4 linked regions of the Arabidopsis thaliana genome follow. The protein of the gene in region 4 interacts with the protein of the main gene of each other region in a pairwise test. Each region holds a gene or a part of one and is shown on either strand. Other genes may lie near its edges. The genes, in order: NST1, AT1G17310, AT3G46600 and BPC1.

The links.
Region 1: the proteins of BPC1 (region 4) and NST1 interact in a two-hybrid assay, tested with the Arabidopsis thaliana proteins (one large-scale study listed by BioGRID).
Region 2: the proteins of BPC1 (region 4) and AT1G17310 interact in a two-hybrid assay, tested with the Arabidopsis thaliana proteins (one large-scale study listed by BioGRID).
Region 3: the proteins of BPC1 (region 4) and AT3G46600 interact in a two-hybrid assay, tested with the Arabidopsis thaliana proteins (one large-scale study listed by BioGRID).

Annotation. Positions count from the first base shown.
Region 1 is NC_003071.7:19,219,591-19,225,123, forward strand, and holds NST1 (NAC (No Apical Meristem) domain transcriptional regulator superfamily protein), read right to left. Parts: upstream 3,327-5,533; 5' UTR 3,233-3,326; coding exon 3,046-3,232; intron 2,735-3,045; coding exon 2,448-2,734; intron 1,951-2,447; coding exon 1,327-1,950; 3' UTR 1,135-1,326; downstream 1-1,134. Other genes in the region: AT2G46765 (uncharacterized protein), read left to right, coding at 750-974. UniProt on the Arabidopsis thaliana protein: Transcription activator of genes involved in biosynthesis of secondary walls.
Region 2 is NC_003070.9:5,926,611-5,931,090, forward strand, and holds AT1G17310 (MADS-box transcription factor family protein), read right to left. Parts: upstream 2,224-4,480; 5' UTR 2,091-2,223; coding exon 1,404-2,090; 3' UTR 1,315-1,403; downstream 1-1,314. Other genes in the region: AT1G17300 (uncharacterized protein), read left to right, coding at 294-680, 777-830; AT1G17330 (Metal-dependent phosphohydrolase), read left to right, coding at 3,356-3,517, 3,671-3,701, 3,794-3,812, 4,193-4,290, 4,417-4,480.
Region 3 is NC_003074.8:17,155,275-17,160,772, reverse strand, and holds AT3G46600 (GRAS family transcription factor), read right to left. Parts: upstream 2,850-5,498; 5' UTR 2,726-2,849; coding exon 974-2,725; 3' UTR 808-973; downstream 1-807. Other genes in the region: AT3G46610 (Pentatricopeptide repeat (PPR-like) superfamily protein), read left to right, coding at 1-549; TRFL1 (TRF-like 1), read right to left, coding at 4,827-5,000, 5,071-5,134, 5,202-5,495. UniProt on the Arabidopsis thaliana protein: Probable transcription factor involved in plant development.
Region 4 is NC_003071.7:425,995-431,097, reverse strand, and holds BPC1 (basic pentacysteine1), read left to right. Parts: upstream 1-2,197; 5' UTR 2,198-2,888; coding exon 2,889-3,740; 3' UTR 3,741-3,984; downstream 3,985-5,103. Other genes in the region: AT2G01920 (ENTH/VHS/GAT family protein), read right to left, coding at 4,108-5,046. UniProt on the Arabidopsis thaliana protein: Transcriptional regulator that specifically binds to GA-rich elements (GAGA-repeats) present in regulatory sequences of genes involved in developmental processes.

The sequences.
Region 1 (5,533 bases), about 19 Mb from region 4:
AAGCATACTATTATGTCGACTGCTATTAATGATACTCAATCATAATCTATTAATCTCAAACATACAATTGACGACTAATAGTACTTAATTAAGATAACATAGTCCATCAATTTCTGTGCCTACTAAAACACATATTTTAATATGTATCTATGAAGATAATTAGTGTATTATAATATATGGCTAGAAAAGACACAATGTCTTGTATCAAAATTGTCTATCGCCTTTTGGTCGTAAAATATTATGTAGTTCTTGTAATTTTTAATTATATTTTCTAAATTATTTTCAAGATTATGGGCTTATAATTTTTTTTATTTTTTTTCACAGAAAATTAAAATTTTATTGATGGATTAGAACCTTACAAGAGTTGAATTATATAAGTTGGCAAGGGAAAACACTCCTTCCAAAGACTAAGCCGGCGAGCACAATACATCTCCCGGGAACTAAGATAGATCTAAAGGGGAAAAACCCAAATTAAATAACAACAATGATACTAAACCTAAACTTCCCAGATCCATTACTAAAAAACTCAAAACTGAAAAACAAAGTCTAAATCCAAAGTTATTTTAAAAAACAGATCTGAGACTAGAGATCTAACCAAAGAAAATAAAATCAAGACTCTCCTTACCACAAACGGCGGTGAGACATCAAACAACACCCCGAAACCCAAAGGACAAGGTCTCAAGAAGAAAGGAAGGAGAACTAGATCTTCAATGGAGAGAGATCTGCATCTGAGGCGATGAAAGATCGAAATGAACCTGCCTCTGCCATGGTTGGAACGGCCAGAACTGAAGCTGCAGACGAAGGAGACAAACAAGCAGCAAAACTGGAAGAGCAAAGGATTTAGACTTCACAGATCTAGATCTGTGAATTTAGAACAGAGACCGTTGGAAGAAAATAGGATTCAGATCACATTAAACCCACAAGAAAACGAAACTAAAGAGATTACAACAAAGAAATTCCGGTTTTGGTGCTGAAAAAGCCACCGGAACTGGAAACCCTAGGCGGGGCGGCGAAGCTTCTCGTAATATGTTTTTTTTTTCTTCTAGAAGGAAAACTATAAAATTAAATGGAAGACATTTTGATTATTATAATGAAATGTAATGCTCTCCCCAACAATAACGAAATATCTCCTTTTTGAGATCTTTATTCTCCTCTTTTAAATTCTTATATTAATCTATTTTACAATATTTCACATAACCACTGTAATTATCACAAATCTGACTTTCTTTTATATGTTTCAACAACTATATGGTATGATTATATCTTTTTACACAAATGTGAAATGTCTTATGTGTGTGTGCCTCTCTCTCTTTCCCTCCATTTCCGTTATCCACTACCATTCGACACGTGACAAAATGGGCCAGGCGATGACGATAGAGACGACGTCGTCGTATTCCATAGCTCCATCTCCGGTGTATATTCCTGTGTTAAACCGGCGTGGTACGAAGCGGACCGGTTTAGGCTGGGGTACGGAGATCGGACGGAAGGCAAAGCGAGATGATCATGGCCCACGTGGCTCTCATTGACGGCTGTAATTGAATATGATGTGGGTCCGTTAAGCTGCGAGGCCACGAGGCGGTCTAAAGCCGCCCAGCTAGTAACAAAGCTAGTGTCGACCACGTTGCTGACGTGGATATTATGATTAGTGTCGGGAGAGCTTACGTGGCAGTTGTTGATTGCCTGACTGTTAGGGCTTTCGAGGTTTGGGAGTTTCATGAAAGGGTCAAGATTTAGCTCTTCTTTACAAGATCTCCCCATAAGTTCAAGAAATTGGTCGAGAGTATCCTCGTTGAAGATCTGAGATGATGTCGTCTTCGGCGTATCTCCGCCGCCGCTCAGGGAAGCTCCTCCGACGGGACTGTTTAGGGTTTTGTGAAGATTCTTCTTCTTGAAAATACGACACACCACCCATCCTTCGTCTTGTGATGCTTCCCCTATAATACTCACGACCTTAAATATTCAAAAATCAACTAAGATATATTAGCAAAGTTCATGTTTTGCACTAATCCCATTTAGGTTAAAACCAAAAAGAAAAAGAAAATTCATATTTCAGTTTCATGTGCGTCTGTATATGACAAAGGAGAAAAGAAATATTTGTGGGAAGAAGTAACTAAAACTATTATCATTAAATATTGGGAATTTAAGAAAAAAATAATAACGAAAACGAATATGTGATAGTTTTCATAATGTTATTAAAGAAAATTACGATCATACTTTGCATAAATATTGTTTTTTAAAATATATTAATTACCTTTATATATATATTAATTACATGATATTTTTTACTTGTACATCTTATCATCAGTAACAACTTTTATAATGGTCAATGAAATAATAATTAATCAAAACAAAATCGAGATTGTGATGTAAAATGAGATATTCAAAAAAGAGACCAAATCCTTTGATTGAATAACTCGTATTTAGGTTATGATGGAATTAATACATACCTCATGAACGGTGACATCCTCGGGGGAAATAATGTTGTCATCGAGTCTATATTCATGCATGATCCAATCAGATTTTTGGCCGTGAGGAGCTCGGCCTTTGTAGAAAACAAGAGTCTTTCTCATCCCAATTCTACGGCCATTGCTATATATGATCTTGTCGCGGCCAGTTGCTTTCCAAAATCCAGCCGCAGTGGCTCTGTTAGTTCTCGTTCCCGTCGGATATTTTTTGTCCTTGTGGCTAAAGAAATACCAGTCGTTTTGTGGCGTTGTTCCTATTTTACACATCTCTGCATAACGACAAAAATAATCAGAAGAAAAAAACTTAAATAGTAAATTGTATAATAACCAAACCTATGTTGGTCTTTGCAGTAACTAACTCCGAATATGAACAAACAACATCAACAACTAAGTGTAGATTCTCTGTACTCTAGTCATATTCTCGTAAAAGGATACATGAGATCACGTCATGAATCGAAAGTAGTATAGACAAGACAGCACTTTCATATATATGGAAAAATTAATAAATTCGGAAAATTGGATTATGAGAGTGTGAAAGAGAGAAAATTAATTCATAAAAAATTTCTTTATGGAAATAAACCTTGAATGTCCCAAGGCTCGAGCTTGTTGAGATCAACGTCGCGAATGACATCAAGATCGATCTCGATGCTATTAACTTTCTTCCGGAGATAATACTGCAACAGCTCTTCCTCGGTCGGATGAAACCTAAACCCAGGAGGCACTTGAGATTGTCCGTTCACTGATATGCTCATAGATTTTGACATCATCAAAGAGATTCAAGATTAACTCAAAAATCAAGCAAGAATAGAGCATGTGAGGTTTATTTAATTGTAACTATATATCATACTGAAAGTTGGAGATGAGAGAGCTAGCAGAGAATGACTCAATATATATATATATATTGTTGTATAAAAACAAGATGCATGAGGAAAACGCATGTGTCTCCTTGTACACCTTTTTTTGTTTTTCTTAATTATTAAAATTCAACTCTTATCATTAGCTTTTCCATTTGTATTCATTATTTAGTTTGAAAATTAAAATATAACCCTCCAAGAGCAATATATTAATTTCACTTGTCAATTATTAATGATTATTATTCTCTTGTTCTTTTTTCACAATTATTAGTTTCAATTTTTTTTGGCGTCTAGTTTTAAATAGTTTTGCTATTTTATTGTCATTGTAATTAGTTTAGAAATTAAAACGTGGGCCTCACTATAGTGATTTAGTTACACTTATCTTTTACAAGAACTTAAAATCATCAAATGTGACAATATCAGGCATCGTAATTATTTGTGCTAATATCAATGACATAATATCACTTGGACTATTTCAAATACGTATAATGTATGTTGTTATACATTTTTTTTAGTCTTTTCAAAGTTTAGGTTTATCTTATTCATTAATTCTTTAAACTACTAAGAACCATCGTAAACAAAATAAGTAACTTTGTGTATCTTTACATTTGCAACGAGTAAAGAATTATTGTGAAGAAAAAAAGGAAAACATAAAAAAAGTGATATATAGTTGTCGGAGAAAAAAAAGGTGATGTAGTTATCAAAAGAAAAAGAGTAGGCCCCGTAAGGCAACTAGATTGTAGGAAGCAAGCCCACATCGAACGATGACCCTTGACCTTAAAAATCTCTATAGAAAAGCTCCCTTTAAACAAATTAACAACCCACACATCGTAATAGTAATAGATTGTCTTCTTCTCTCTTTTTCTCTTCTAATTCTTGATATTTATACAAATGATATCTCTCTTTATATGCACATGCACACTGTATTTACAAAATAAAGTCGAAATAGGGTGTCTTAAAAAGTTTCCCTCCGGAAGATGTGGCTTTTTTCATCGATAAATAAACGTTTACACTACAAAAGTTTTTTTTTTTTAAACGAAAAGGTTTGATCGTTACAAAAAAACTAGTTGATGTGACAAAGAGTGTTTTTTTTTGGGATGTGACGAAAATTTATAAAAATATATTAGTAATAATGTGTATATGTTATATATGGGAAATTGTCTTCGAAAGAAAGTGGGAAATAATGCCCCAAACGGTAGATATAGTTTGGTGTTCGAGAGATGATAGAGTTGGGTAATGAGTGTTCCTGTCCCGTCTGAAATAGGATTAACAATCGATTTCACTTTTCTTAGCTAATGAAAATCTCTAGAGTTATACGTTTATTTATTTTTCAAATCTTTGCTCGATCGTTCGAGATGATTTGTAGTATGGTTAGTGCAAAACGAATGAGCCTAATTAAGGGGTGCTGTTTTTATTTTTTTAAACATTTGGTTGTTACGTTCTGTTAGAGACACTATATAAAGGTGAGACGACAGAAAGGTAACGATGACGTCAAAAACCACATAGTTTTATCATTTAGACTGTGGAATTGTATGTGTAAGTACGTGTACTTGTGTAGAAACGTAATTAAGAAAACCAAAATTAATGGAGCTAAGGAGTGTTTATGTGGTTGGAACTAAGACTTTATTTAAGATTAGTTAAGAGGCCTTTCTGCATTTGTCTAAACACAGAATCATTTTGTTGCGTTTTCGGAATTCCATGCTTTTAATCATTATTTTTTTAGTTTGATTAATGACATTGCACCCAACTTTTTTTGTGTCTTAAGTCCATGTGTTTATTGGTTGCGCTATGAAAATCCAAAGTTTCTAAGTACTATATAAAACGGGAAAACTGTAGAAATTTACAGGTCATGATTCTTTCCAGTAGCCAGTACCATGCGTTTTCTAATATATTTTGTTTGATAAAAGTTGTTTCTATTTTAAACGTAACTTTTGATTATTAAATACGGAGATAAATAGATAAACTAGTACTCAGAAAGATATATTACTTGAAGAATACATTTTTTTTAGAAATTATGTATGTGTGATTTTTTTAATTAACGTTTGGTAAAAAATAAAGTATAAGAACTAAATAAAAGAAATTTGCGTTGTCTAAAATATTCTCACTCCTCTATTATTTGTGATAAATAAATTTATAATATAGTTGAATTTATAATTAAAAAGAAAAAGTAGGTTTGATTTCAGAATCTTCATTCTATTTTGGTAGAGTTTATGG
Region 2 (4,480 bases), on a different chromosome or scaffold from region 4:
TGTACTGTACATATGATAATGTAGATGCTGCTGAGTAATATCATCATCAGTAAATGATAAGGTAAGTGACTCAAAATCTGATTATTATAGCAGCAGTCAAAGTAAGATCACGTAATTAGATCCCAATAACTATTTCTTCAAACACACACAAATCTTGGTCTATAAAGCAACACGCTTTAGAAGTCTCTAGTTATCTAACTCATATCTCTATCCAAGATTGTCTCAGTTACTGTCACAAGAATAAGATACGAGCTTTCAAGAATCCTAACGGATTTACAAGAAGAGAAATCACAATGAAGAGATACTGTTCAGTGGCTCTGGTTCTGTTACTTGTAGCTTTCTTTAGCAGCAAGTATAGTGTAGAGGGCCGTTCTTTGTTAACGATGACACATTCGAGTCAAGCTGCGAGAGATTTGCATGTAAGCAAGGAGATGAAGAAAGAGCCACTTAAGGGAGAAAAAGATAGCTTAAGAAGAATCCCAAGGGGTGGCTCAAACCCTATACAGATTGACAAGGATCAGGAGAAAGCATCAGTTAGAGGAGAAAAAGATAGCTTCCGAAGAGTCCCTACTCCTACTCCTGCTTCTTCATCGCGTCACTTGTCTGCTTCTTCTTCCGATATCTCTGCTTCTGATTCCTCTTCCTCTCTTCCCGTAACTCTTGACTCCATCAATACCAAGGTCGGTTTTTCTTGACTCCACTCTAGAGACTGATGTCTTAAAACGTTTCTTGACTGCTTCTGATTTTTATTTGTGGGGATATAAATGATCACACAGGTTCTCAAATATGAGTATGCTGTCCGTGGAGAAATTATCAACATTGGTCAATGATGAGACTGGATGTGTTGAGGCCTGAGAGAGTCGGCTGGTCAAACACGTGAAAGAGAAAACCTAATTGCATGTTTAGGGATTAAGCTAAGACTTAGTCTATGTTATTATTCTGTGTCAATTTGTGTCGTGCAAATAAATAAGAGTGACTTGGTTTCCTTGTTTTAAGGAACCAGCATTCCAACCTTTCCCGTTTGTTCTTAATTGTAAGAATCACTTGTTTCCTTCGTTATTTGCTTTTTCTTGTACGCCTTACATAAAATAAGAAAACGACCAAGAGAAAATGCAGTTTCAATCTGCCAAAAATACTTCATGTGGTATATAAATATGGTACATGTGCAGGTCAAATCTTAAAAAAAATTGAAAGCTGGTTTAACTGATAGAATACTGTTCTACATTATGTAATATGTATGGTTCAAAGATTAAAAATCCAAACAACTGAATTTCCAAAGTATGAAGTATACAAGAGATGAAACAATCTGATGATCAATAGCATAAAATCATATAATTAAACTTAACAAAACTAAATAAAATATTTTAGAAATTCATTAGAGGAATACTTCACGACTGGACTAATCAATCACCGTTTTGACCTACACGGCATCGATTAACCCCATCCGTCAGATTTTCCAATTTTTGCATATCCATCGTTGGTTTCCATCCCATCACATTGATTGGCCATGCCGGAACCATATCAACCGTCCGATCGTTACCCATCGCCACAATCTTTTTCCCTATATTTTCTCTCAACATACTCAATGCTGCCATGTACTCCTCAAGCTCCTCTTCTGGCACACTCTCCACCGGACGCTCCCACCACGGTCTCCTACTTTCCTCATCCGCCGCGTTATCACCGGAATATCCCTCCAACTTCACCGGACTCTTACGAAGATACTTGTCTATCAATGCGTCTACATGGCCAAATCTGTAGATCCTATCGCATTTAGAGAACGTTATGACGGCGATTTTTGCGCCCGTGAGAACGCTCAATTCAGCGGATTTCTTGAACAGCCCACGACGGCGTTTCGAGAACGTTACTTGTCTCTTGGTCTCTTCCTCGATTTTCTTGATCTCTATCTTCTGTCTTCCTCGTGTCGTTTTAGGGGTTTGTGTTGTTGTCTCCTTTTTTGGTTGTCTAACCAACATGTTAGGGCTTTGAACAGAATCCTTGGGCGTCAAGCAAGTCATCGATGAAGTTTCTCTTTCTCCTTCCATGAACAAATCTTTCATGACTAACCGAGAGGGGAGAGATGAAAATATCATTAGGTTTTTCCTTGGTCGAGGGATTTATAGTCGTTCATGATTATGTAATAATAAAGGAATTAATTTGTCTTACTTTTCTTCGTACGTTTATGGAATGTTGTATTAAATGCACCTCCAATTAATTAATATTTTTCGGAATGATTCAATGAATCAAAGATAGCTTCTCGTAAAAATGTAAGACATGTGTTGTCTTATACAAAAGTTATAGAAATAATATAAAATCCGAGATACTACTTTCCATTTTAGTCGTTTATTGAATAATCGATTGTGAATTTGTGATACACATTATATTTATATAATATATGCATAGTCTACCTAAATATACACGAATCTCTTTTTACTATCACGTACACATATACAAACGTAGCATGTAGAACAATTATGTCATGCCAAGCAGAAGAAAAACATATGAGTATATGACGTCTTCTTGCCAAGAAGTGATCACATATTCAAATTACACATATGATATTTAAGAATTCCAAATATCACGGTAAAATGTCTAAGTGACAAATTGATCACATATTCAAATTAATTAAGTATCTCATTCGTGGCCAAGAAGTGATTTGATGACATCCTTGTTACTTGATTACAATCTATTCCATAGAACAAAAAAAAAAAAAAAAAAAAAAAGAGTTTAAGAACAGAAACTTGGAAAATAATCAATTATTGAACTACCTCTCTAGAAACAACTAAAATCCCGAATATTTATAAACACCAAAGCAGATAAACCACTTCATAACCAATGCAATTGAAAAGGTTCGGGGACAAAGATAAACCTTGAAATCTTACTAGGGAAAACACCAAAGACAATCTCCATTTCAATGGATCAAATTTGTTTTGAAAAATGTATCCAAAAGTCATAAGTTTATATAAATCGACCTTTCAACTTGACAAATCAGTACTATATAGCCAGCGATTAATGTAAAGAATAGGTTTTCTATAACAATCAGTACAGAGATTTTTAAAATAATTAACAGAAAGTGGCAAAGTTTGTGTAGTTTAATCTACAATAATATGTGAAAATATCTCTGTAAATTTAAATATTTTTTAAAAAAACATAAATAAATAAATTCTTTCATACGTAAGGGTAAAAAGGTAAAATGAGTAAATTCCTTCCCCGAATTTCTCTTTGACTCCGGTGGTCAACGTCGAGCCGAGACGGCAAACTTGAATCAATTTTAAAACAGAGCTTCCGACGCTGAAATTGCAAAATCAAAATCTCTCCAATCTTCGAAACTGAGCAGTTGAGAGAGAGAGAGAGATAGATGGCGGCGAAGACGATGAGGAAGGCGGAGGAGCTGGTGGAGAAGGCGATGAAAGGAAACGATGCTTCTCATGACGCCTGGCACGTGTGGAGGGTCCGAGACCTTGCTCTCTCCATTGCTCGCGAGGAAGGTCTCTCTTCCAATTCTGACTCCATGGAAATTGTGAGTTTGAAAAATCCCTAAATCTCAAAGTTCTAGTTCAGCTGAGCCTGATGAACCTTCTTCTAGTTAGTTCTTCTAGTTAGCTATAGCTGTTTATTGTCAAATTTCAGCTCTTTTACTTTAGAGTGAACCATTTCTGTTGATACTTTGCAGGTGGAGCTTGCAGCTCTTCTCCATGATATAGGTACTTGGTTTTATTTTCATTTCTGTTTTAGTAATGTGGTTCTAGTCCACAGGTTGATCATAATTCGTATCTCTTGCCCTCTCTCTTATCAGGTGATTACAAGTACATAAGGTTTGTTTCTCTAAGTTTTCTTTTCTTTTGAACCGCTTGAGTATAGACTAGTAATGTCCCTTCCAACATTCTTGATCACACTTCCAGGAAACAAAAGTGTTTACTTTTCTCATGAAACTCTCTAAGTTCCCTGCTTTTAACTTTGTTTTATCTAAACTGGATGAATAAAGAAACTTGGAAGTGTTTTGTTTGCGAATGCCATTAGGTAAAGCTTGTGAGAATTCCTTGTCAGATTTGCTTACCTTAGGATTGCTAGGCTCTACTAAGTGGAACTTGGTGTGGATATAAACATAAAAACTACTTAACTATGAATGCTGAAGATTGCTTTCCTTCCGCTGATATGTTGCTTCATGGCAAAAATAATTATAACCGGAATTCAGAGACCCTTCGGAAGAGAAACTTGTTGAGAATTTCCTAGATGATGAGGGTATAGAAGAGACCAAGAAGACGAAGATACTAACGATCATCAATGGAATGGGTCAGTTTCCAGCTCCTACTTTTTACTCAACATATCCAATCAACTATAATGTACATGATTTATCACTACAATTAAGTCATTCTGTTGTATATAAATTTGTGAACAGAACAAGTGTATTCTTTCCAGGTTTTAAAGACGAATTAGCAGGAGTAGCACTCTGTGAGTCTCTTCCAGAATTTGGGGTAGTTCA
Region 3 (5,498 bases), on a different chromosome or scaffold from region 4:
ATGGTTGACAATGGTGAAAAGCCAACGGTCATCTCATACGGTGCACTACTCAGTGCTCTTGAGAAAGGGAAGCTATATGATGAGGCGTTTCGGGTTTGGAACCATATGATTAAGGTAGGGATTGAGCCAAATCTTTACGCGTACACAACAATGGCTTCAGTTTTGACAGGACAGCAAAAGTTCAATCTTTTGGATACCCTTCTCAAGGAAATGGCTTCAAAGGGTATTGAACCGAGCGTTGTGACTTTCAACGCGGTTATAAGTGGTTGCGCGAGGAACGGGTTAAGTGGTGTGGCTTATGAGTGGTTTCATAGAATGAAAAGTGAGAATGTTGAGCCTAACGAGATAACTTACGAGATGTTGATTGAGGCTCTTGCAAATGATGCAAAGCCAAGGCTTGCTTATGAGTTACATGTGAAGGCTCAAAACGAAGGGCTTAAACTCTCTTCTAAGCCATATGATGCGGTTGTTAAATCAGCTGAGACTTATGGAGCCACCATTGATCTTAATCTTTTGGGTCCTCGACCAGACAAAAAGAATAGACCTTAGTCTGACGAAAACACATTGTACAAGGTTACCGTGGGGTAAGGCGCATCCAAGGACCCTTAAAGGCAAGAAAATTGCCATTACAGGGAAGAAGAAAGTTTCCAAGTAATCACTTTCTTGTTCTTTAATACTCTTTTTAGTTTGTCTAGTCTCTCTGTTTATATTGTGAATTTTTATCTTCGTACAACATCTGTATTATCATCAGACACATTGATATGCAAACTGGTTTGTTCAGTTCAAAGTTATGGATCTTTTTGAAATAAGTTTTGAATTCTTGGTTTGCCATATGTACTTGCAAGAAAGTAGAGAGAAAGAGAGAGACTCATTCAATATATATGAGAGCAAACAGTTTCTACAACACTTTGAAACCAAAAACAAAGAAATGGAAAGCTAGCAAAATTATGCAAATGATTACAGAACTGTTTTATTACTTCTTAGCAGGTTTCCAGCAAGAAACAGCATAAAGGACTCTTCCTTTCCAGCCCTGAAACATCCAGTGGTTATCATTGTCGATCACAAAATCTTTGTGGTAACGTTCTTTCACTATCTCTTTCCCGTCCTTTACTATCTGTTTGCTTAGTTTCGCTGGTCTAAATCCTGCTCTTAGAATCCTAACCTGCCATTGCTTGTAGGTCTCTGGCCTTGCAAACCGCTCAGACCCTTCACAGGCTATCACACTCATTGCATCTCTTATGATTAGTTCCCTCTCCACCAGTGTCCTGCAATTGTCGTCTTCTGATAATGTGGTCTCATACATGTCAAAGAGTGACGAGCAATGGAAGAGAGCTTCTCTGAACCTTGTTAGGAAGAAGGGTGAATTGTAAGTCCCGTTAATCTCTGCAAACACAAAGAGGTCAGGGTTGATGTCTCTGAATAGTTTCAGAGCCGTGTCTCTCGGTGAGTTGAGGGACACGGTTTCATCAGGTGTATATTGTAGCCGGAGGATGCAGTTGACAACTGTTGTCTCGCCACTATTGATCACCAGATCATCAAGAGTTATGTTCTCCCAATTCTTGGCTATGAAACTGTACTCAAACGGGACATTGAACTTGTCACAGAACCTCTTTAGTCTTCGCCCGGTCTCTTCTACCCGCTCTGATGGACGGAAACCTGACTGAGGAAGCTCGATACCAGTCACACGGAGCAGTGGTGGTCCGATGTCACGTTTTGACAAAGCTTGTATCAGACAAGGCCATTGAAATCCATAGAGAATCCCAAAATCAATGATGTGAAGTGTGGTTGCTTTGGAAGCAAGCTCATTGATTGTTCTGTTTGCAGTGAAATAACACATTATTAAGGTGGGGCAAGCCTGAACAAATCCCTTGTACGCCTTCAAAATGTCCACCATTGATGTTCTGCTAGAAGTAGCAGATATTGGTGTAGTCATGGTTCCTGTAATACGAGCTTCAAGCGCCTCAGCAAAGTGATAACCAAGTCTTTGAGTCGCATCACCGTGGCGAGAAGAGTGTTCTCTTATCTCCTTCAGTTTCTCAAAAGCTCTTCTCTGGTCAAAACTCGCCACAGCTTGCGCGCATTGCATCAAAAGATTCCTCATATCTACTGGCTGATCTGACTTTTGCTGCTTGTATCGATTCGATGAGCCTTTTACGTGTCTTGTTTTCTTCTCTGTTGCTTCTCCCTGATCATTCTTTTGACATACCAACAACACTTCCTCAAACTTCTCTGCTAACTCATCCACCGTAGAAATCGCAGGGAGCTTCGATTTCCTTCCACTCTCAAGATCATCATCTTCATCATCATCCCTATGTCGATACCTTCTGGTTGACTCCTCTGAAACTTCAGGTTGATGCAAACTCGTTATAGAACTGAAGTTTCCAAGAGAACCATCCTCTAGATCACCCGAGATTGGAGTTTGATCTTGAAGCACTTCGAAGAAAGATCTCTCTGCGGCTTGTAAAGCCAAACTGTCTTCCAACATACAAGACTGACCTTCAAGATCTTCTTCCATCAACATGTCATTGATGTACTTAAAGACAGGAAGGTAATCTGAACATACCTTAGACTCGGTCGGAGAAGGGTTGCTCTGAGATTCAGATTCGTTGAAACAAGTGAAACGATTGGTCGTCCCAGATTCAAGATTGTTCCTCGGTTTGCAACAAGATCCAGAACCGGTGTCGAATCTGAACCCATCAACGGGTACTGGCAAAATAGCATCCATGAAACAGAATCTCTCTAGAATGAAGATTGAAACAAGAGTACTTTAGTAAGTCAACGAAAAGAGGAAATGAAAGAGAGTAGTGAGAAGTTTCATGTGAACACAAGTTGCGAGATGTTGTTGATATAAACAAAGGATAGGGTTGATATTTGTCTTATTTAATCTTTGTCTTGGCAAAGAAGAAAAATGAAGTTTCGAGGAAACAGAGAATGTGTGGGGTTGAAGATAAACACTAAGCCGCCACAAAAGGTTAGTAATAATATGTCCAAGACTTTATCTACTGTCGTGGGTCCAAATGGCTAAAAAGCTATTTGTTTTCTTGTTGTTGTCTTCCTTTTGGTCACTTGTCTGGTCAAATATTTGACTTATTAGTTATTACCTTGAATATATTTTCTAAATGTATTTAGAAATTTAGACTTTTTCTTTTTGTATAACGAAATATAAAACTTCGAAGTAAATTAAGTTTGTTTTGGTTCAGTTTTTTTTTCTACAAGACACAAGCAAATTTCAGTTTTTAAATAATAATATAGTAAATTTTATAATTTACTACAATATATTTGTTTGATAATTTATTTTGCATATAATACGCGTAAACTATTTAGTAGTCTGTTACCACATCACCAAAATTCCAAAAAAAAAACAAGATGTAAATCTTAATTGTATAACCTGTCCCTTGATTTTTTTTTTTTTTTTAAGTAGTGATTTTTAAAATTTAATGATTATTTATTATATATAAAAGTTTGAAAATTATACAATTCTCTAAGACATTAATATTTTATAATTTACAATTTTTATATAGTAACATTATACCATGAGACATTTTGGTTTTATATATATTTTTTTAAATCAGACTGATTTGATATGTATAATATTAGTGGTGTTAAAAAAAAGATTTAATATGTATTGAAACGGCAGATTAATGATATTTTAATTTGTTATTAATGTAGATTCAAAAATCCGTTCCGCAAAACCCATTCCAACAAAAACCCAGTTATTTTATTATTGTAAATATTCATTATATGATATGATTCTGAATCATTGTCTAAATATTTTAGTCAATGTGGAACATTAAACATACACATTATTTTGTCAATTGGGTAATACGTGTCCGTGTTTAAAATTAAAAATCACAATATATGTATAAAAAAAAATTGTTTTTTGATTTTATTTTATGTATTATATGACGATTTAAAACAAAATCAAATAAAAAGCATAATTTTAAATATTAATTAAATCTTCTAAATATATATAATATGGTGTATATTAGTTAAGAATCATAATTTTCTTGCTGCGTCAAGTTGCTAAATATATTAGTTTTAAATCGGTAAATATATCAGTCATCATAACTTCTAATAAATTGAACGTTATCCTCTATTATCTCGTCCAGGTCCAAATGTAAACTTCAATATCCTTTTGATTTTATTGCTAATTGCTTTAAATTTTTTCACAAACTCCAATATTCAATGAAAGGCAACAGTTCAGTGAAAAAAAAAAAAAAAAAAGTGGGAAGAGCTTGCCTACTCAATGCTATCTGCAAATATTTGCGAACTTTAGTTCAACATCGACTTCTTTACTGGTTAGAGATCCAGGATTTTGTGCCTTTGTTTGTGGCTATAGCCTTTAAAAGAGGCTTTGAGACCAGCTTATTACTCTGAACGACCCGTATTTAAGGTAAATACCATAGCACACATACCACTCACAAGCACAAGCTTCTGTGTATTCTTTCCTAATATAGGACACATGTGAACCATAAACTGACCAAACATAGACCAGCTTGAGTAACAATTTATCCAACAATTGAATTCTCCAGCACTCCTAGAGTTTGGATGAGGTATATATATATCAGTTCGTTGTCGTTGTGATATGATAGGCCGAGCCATAAATCATATAGACAGAATAAAAATGTCACCAAAGATTTACAACAAATCCTTTACATTGTTAGAAAAAACCCAACCTTATTTCCAATTATAAAACTTTACATTTGAAAGAAAGAAAAAAAAAAACAAAGAAGAACTGAGACCAGATCTTCAACTATGTCAGAATCTTACAATATGGATCATCATAATAATACACAAAGGTTCTTTAGACCAAGAACCTGTTCAGATTAGAGAGCCTCTACCTGAGTGGATGGTGGCTCAGTCTGCAGTTGATGCATTAGGTGTTGTGACCAGTAAGCGTGTGCCTTCAAAACACGGTCCAGAAGTTCCTGTGGCACCGGCTCTCCTCTCCGCTGTTGTGGAGATATCCTTGCCGTGTGGACCAGCGTCTTCCACTTATCCTACAAAGGCAAAGACTCAATACCAAACTGTATATATTAAGGTTAAGAGTTAGTTAAAAAACTAACTAACCTTGAGATCAACATAGGTACGATGGTCTGCGTCCTCGAAAGCACGAACCTTCACATCTCTCCACCTGTAGTTTTCAAACACATTTTGTCAGCAACATGAAGAAGAGAAAGTGCTATTTCTTTGTTTTGTACCTTCCGGTTCCGAGTTTCTCAACGGCTTGGACCAGTGCTTCTACTTCAGTAACTGAGAAAGGTCGACGAATTCTGCGTTGTGCAGCTAGCTGCTGCTCAGTCCTTTTAAACTTACGGTTAGGAGGCCGAGGAGCCAGCATTGCTGCTGAGGCAACAGGAATCAAAGCTCTAGAATGATCACTTGTGCCTAGTTTCCCAAATGAGTCAGCTGGGGATGGTTCTGGCTCATGACTAGAATCCAACGCATTGTCGTGGCATAACGTCACATCATCACAGGCATGATCTGACAGATAACTG
Region 4 (5,103 bases):
TTAAGAAGGTTCATTAACAGATCTAAGAATGTTACTGGATCAAGAATGAAATGAATCTTATATGAAAACATTTTTTTTTTTTTGATGGAACTCATATGTAGACTACCAAAATTAATCATTATTATGGTTTAAATTTTCTCAATCATAAGTTTTGTTACTTTAACACATTTTCTCTGTTTCAATTATGGTTTAAATTTTCTCAATCATAAGTTTTGTTACTTTAACACATTTTCTCTGTTTCAATTGTAAATGCCATATGTATTCCTTCCTTAGCTTGATCGCTATTCGCTACTAGTTGTTTTTATTTTTGTTATTGCCGAATAATAAATTAATTTGCAGATAAAAGAAACAAAAGATACCTCATAATGTTTTTTGTCAGTTGTCAAAAATTGGTTCTAAATGGACCGAAAGGAAAAACAGAACAAATTAGACGAGAAGATGTGATCGAGTTACTACGGTGACAGCTTTGTATAAAGGAAAGAAATGAGATCGTGTTTGTAATCATTTCCTAAGATGAGATTACTCTCCCATCTCTTACTTAACCCTTTGCTTATCGATTATTACCACTGATTAGATCTTTTCTAGCTGATACATAATGCATGATATTTATTTCGGAGCTACAAAATTATAAATTTGTAGTTTCTAATCGTTATATATGGACTTGAGAGACCACAACATCTTAAATGAATGCAAAAATTCAAAAAGAAACAAAAACATGTTAAATGAAATACAATAGTCTGATTTTTAATAGTCAAAAATAAATCGACAATGGCCTAGTGGTTGATCCAAGGTTAAAAGTTATACATAAAAGTTGAAATCTAAGTTTAATGTATAAAAATATTGAGCTCTTTAGACCTAGTTTTTGGACATTCAGGTATATTTACCTAGGATATATCTCACAAATATTAACTATATAATCAAGATAAATTCGAATAACAATGGTAAACTATTAGAAGTTAATTCAAGAGAATGAATAAAATAATATAAGTAGGAGATTTGAGTTGGAAAGAAGGATCAAGTCACATGCTCCAAATTTACAAAGCAAAGAAATGCCATCATCTCCCCCAACTCCTCCCTTTGATTCTCTCTTTATCTTTTCTTTTTATCTTCAATTATTAATGTTTTTAATAATAAAAAACCATATATATAAACATAAAATTAGTTATTTATCTGAAAAGAACATTCTCAATACATCATTACTCATTTTATTCGGATATTTTGGTCTCATGCCTTCATTCTCAAGTTTCGCATACATCCATAAACTCTATAAAATGTTGCCAAGAAAATAAACACAATGTGTATAATTGTACTCAATCTTTCAAATCGAATTAAGATAAAATACAACTTCAGTCAACAAAATTTTTTTAGTCAAAATGTACGTGTGTAATTATAATGTTGGCTACTCAATTTAAAATCAAATTAAGTTGGTGAAACAAAAAAAAAGTGGTTATGGGCCGAAATGATTACCGGCCTTGAATATGAGTCCACTGGACGTAATTTTGATATTAAGTATTTGGGTCTCTTATCTCTTAAATGAGTCGCATATGGGCCAGTTGTTGAGCATTATCCATGGAAATCAAAAAGTTGCATGGAAACAGAGACTTTAACAAAAAAAAGCTTCTTCCGGAGATTCATACACATAAATCTCTATCTTCATATCTAGTGTGAATCCAGCTATTGGAAATCTTTGGATGTTTGATCAAGTGTTGAATTTCTCTGTTTGGATGTTGTACATCTTCTTAATTAGTTACATGCTTAATCTTCTTCTTGTTTTTTTTTTTTTGAATACCAGAACATTCTGAACCAAAGCCGTAATTTCCGAAGACCCAAAAGTACAACATGTAACGCGACCTCTAAGCTTTGCCTAGAATATTTACCAATTAAAATAATAATATTTGGTTAATCTTCGTCTTGTTAGCTCATACGTCAGACAATGAAAACAAAAGGTAATTGATGTTTTCATTACTTGAGGATTAGATATTGGTCAAGCTTAGTTGTGGCTATGGGTTAAAGACTAAGATCTCATTAGTAAAAGTGGTATTGAGCTTGCCTTCTCAATGCTATGACAAATACTGTATATTTTATCAATAGTACAATGTAAAGGATAAGGAGAAGAAGTGGGCTTTGATTTTGTTTTTGTCTTCTTCTTCTTCTTCCCCCAAATCTCTTTACCCTACAAATAACCAAAAATAATCTCTTCACCAAAAATATTATATTAAAGTGTCATTTTTAGGATTTTCTAAGAAGAAAAAAAAAACAGGGAAGATCTTTTTAAGCTTCTCTTTCCTCTCTCTTCTATCTTTCTTTCTCTTTCTCAATCTCTCTCAGGTTTCTCTCTCCTCTCTCCAGGAGGTCAAAAAATTCTTTAAAGAGCCGTTTAGACCAAACCCATGTAAGAGATTTCTCTCTCATCAATCTATGTCTCTTTCTCTCTCTTTCGAAAATTATCATTTGCGTCCTCTTTTTGTACTGTTTACTTTGTCTTTCCCATTTCTAGCGATCTTCTCATCGAAGCTTATGACTAATAAAACTCGAGATCTGAAACATTTCTCTCTCAAAAAAAAAATCGAAACTTTATGCTCTGTTTCTTCAGATCTGGTTCTGGGTTTCTCAGATCTAGAGCTCTGCAATATGGGTCTCAAACAAAAATTGAATTCTGATTACAAAAACCCTAATTTTCGTTTCTGGGTACCTCAAAGATCTGTGCTTTCGTTAGAAAATGGATAGATTTTATGTTAATTTCATGGAAATTTCGATGAATTCGAGGTTTAGAATCAGATTCAACCACAAAGTTATAAACTTTTACAATTGTGTTCTGTTATTGTTTTGGATCAAATTGTGTTTAGATTTGACTTTGAATGGCATTGTTTGTAGTTTTATAATCATCAATGGACGATGATGGATTTCGCAATTGGGGATACTATGAACCAGCGGCTGCTTCTTCGTTTAAAGGTAATCTCGGTTTGCAGCTTATGTCTACTATTGACCGGAACACTAAACCGTTTTTACCCGGTCGTGAATCGAATCTTATGATCGGTTCTAACGGTTCGTATCACTCTCGAGAGCAAGACATGAACTATAGCTGGATTAATCAACCAAAGGACAACAAGTTCTTCAACATGTTGCCTATAAGTACACCGAGTTATAGTAATGTGTTGTCGGAAACATCTGGTTCGAATTCGATTCAGATGATACATCAACCGGTTTTGAATTCATCCCGGTTTGAGGAGAATCCGATTCCTCCTCCTGCTCCTTGTGAAGAGCAGACTGGTAAGAAGAGAAAGATGAGAGGCAGCATCGCAACACCAACGGTACCGAAAGCTAAGAAGATGCGTAAACCGAAAGAAGAGAGAGATGTTACTAACAACAATGTTCAGCAGCAGCAGCAGCGTGTGAAACCGGTTAAGAAGAGTGTTGATCTTGTGATTAACGGTGTGAGTATGGACATTTCTGGTTTACCTGTACCGGTTTGTACTTGTACTGGAACTCCTCAACAATGTTACCGTTGGGGTTGCGGCGGATGGCAATCCGCTTGTTGTACGACTAACATTTCGGTGTATCCATTACCGATGAGTACTAAGCGACGCGGTGCAAGGATTTCGGGTAGGAAGATGAGTCAAGGCGCGTTTAAGAAGGTTCTTGAGAAGTTATCAACAGAAGGTTATAGCTTTGGGAATGCGATTGATTTGAAGTCTCATTGGGCTAGACATGGAACCAATAAGTTTGTCACGATCAGATAAAGTTTGAAAAGCTCTTGTTTTTCTTCATTGATCGTGTATATAACAACAAAACTGTGACCTTTGTTTTTCCTTCTTCTTCAAGGTAACTTCTTCGTTTTTAGGGCTTGATCATATCTTAATTCATATTCTGTTTTGTTTGTTTGAAACTATTTCATTCAGCTTTAGGTTTGAAATGTTGACTTGTAACATTAGATGTTGTTTTGATAAAAAATGTTGTTATGTTAAACAATTTTAATGAAGAAGAAAATCTTTTTATAAGATGTTTCAAGGTTGTTTATTTGCATTTTTACCTTATCTTATACACATTAACATACACAGATGTACAAACAACGTTAGACTATAACATGATTAGCTACTAATTACGTGATTAGAAGGTAAGAAAATCTGATGGAGTATTAGAGCGCTCCTCGCTGGTCACCAAATCCACCATATCCGCCGCGGTTACCGGCGTTACTTTTGCGGCTTTCCAATCTAACTCGGGGGCGATATGGAGAAGCTTGTCGAGAACTATCATTTGAGATTCCGTGATTCGCAAGATATTAGAGGTTTCTTGAGCGTTGGTGACACCAAAACCTCTACAGAATTCGAAATACTTGAAGAGTTTTTCTCTCTGCGACAAAGATTTCGCCACGATATTCATCGCCAAATCCGCCTCCGCGGACGATATCTCGAGCATATTCGACTGTACATCGGATAAGAAACCCGCGAATCCGCGGCATATATGACCGTTAATCAAAACAACCTCGCTGATTACATATTCCATAGCTTCGATTACAAGAGGTGTTTCACCAATTGGTTTGATTCTCATCAATGAATCAACTATTCGTTGCATCTTAACGATAATCTCTAATCGAATCATGTTCTTGTTATAATAGAGAATCGATCTTTCGTCAAGAAACATGAAATAAGCGCGAACGAAGATGTTAAACCGACCGGTTCTACTAAACCGAGATTTCCTTCTCCCGAAACCCGAAAGATCGAACGGTAACCGTCCGATCGAATCGACGGTCATGATTCCGGAGAAGAACAAGCCGTGCAATAACATCAAACATTTCAAAGCCACCGTCCAGTTACGCGTGTGTTCCACGCGTAACGAGACGGCGCGTATAATTGGTTTGAAACTGGAAGGGTTGCTCTGTATGTATCTATAGATGAATTGAACGTTTTCGATGTCCATTGAGACATCGTTATGACTCGTCGCTTTGATAACCGCCGCCGTGAATTTTTCATCCGTCGCGGTGATGAGACTGAGTTTGTCCTTTATAGCTCCGGAGACGCGTCTCCACAACTTCATTTTTCGTCTCATGACGATGTTTTAGTTGTTGATGTTTTGTAATTATTCTACGAAGATGATTTGGTTATG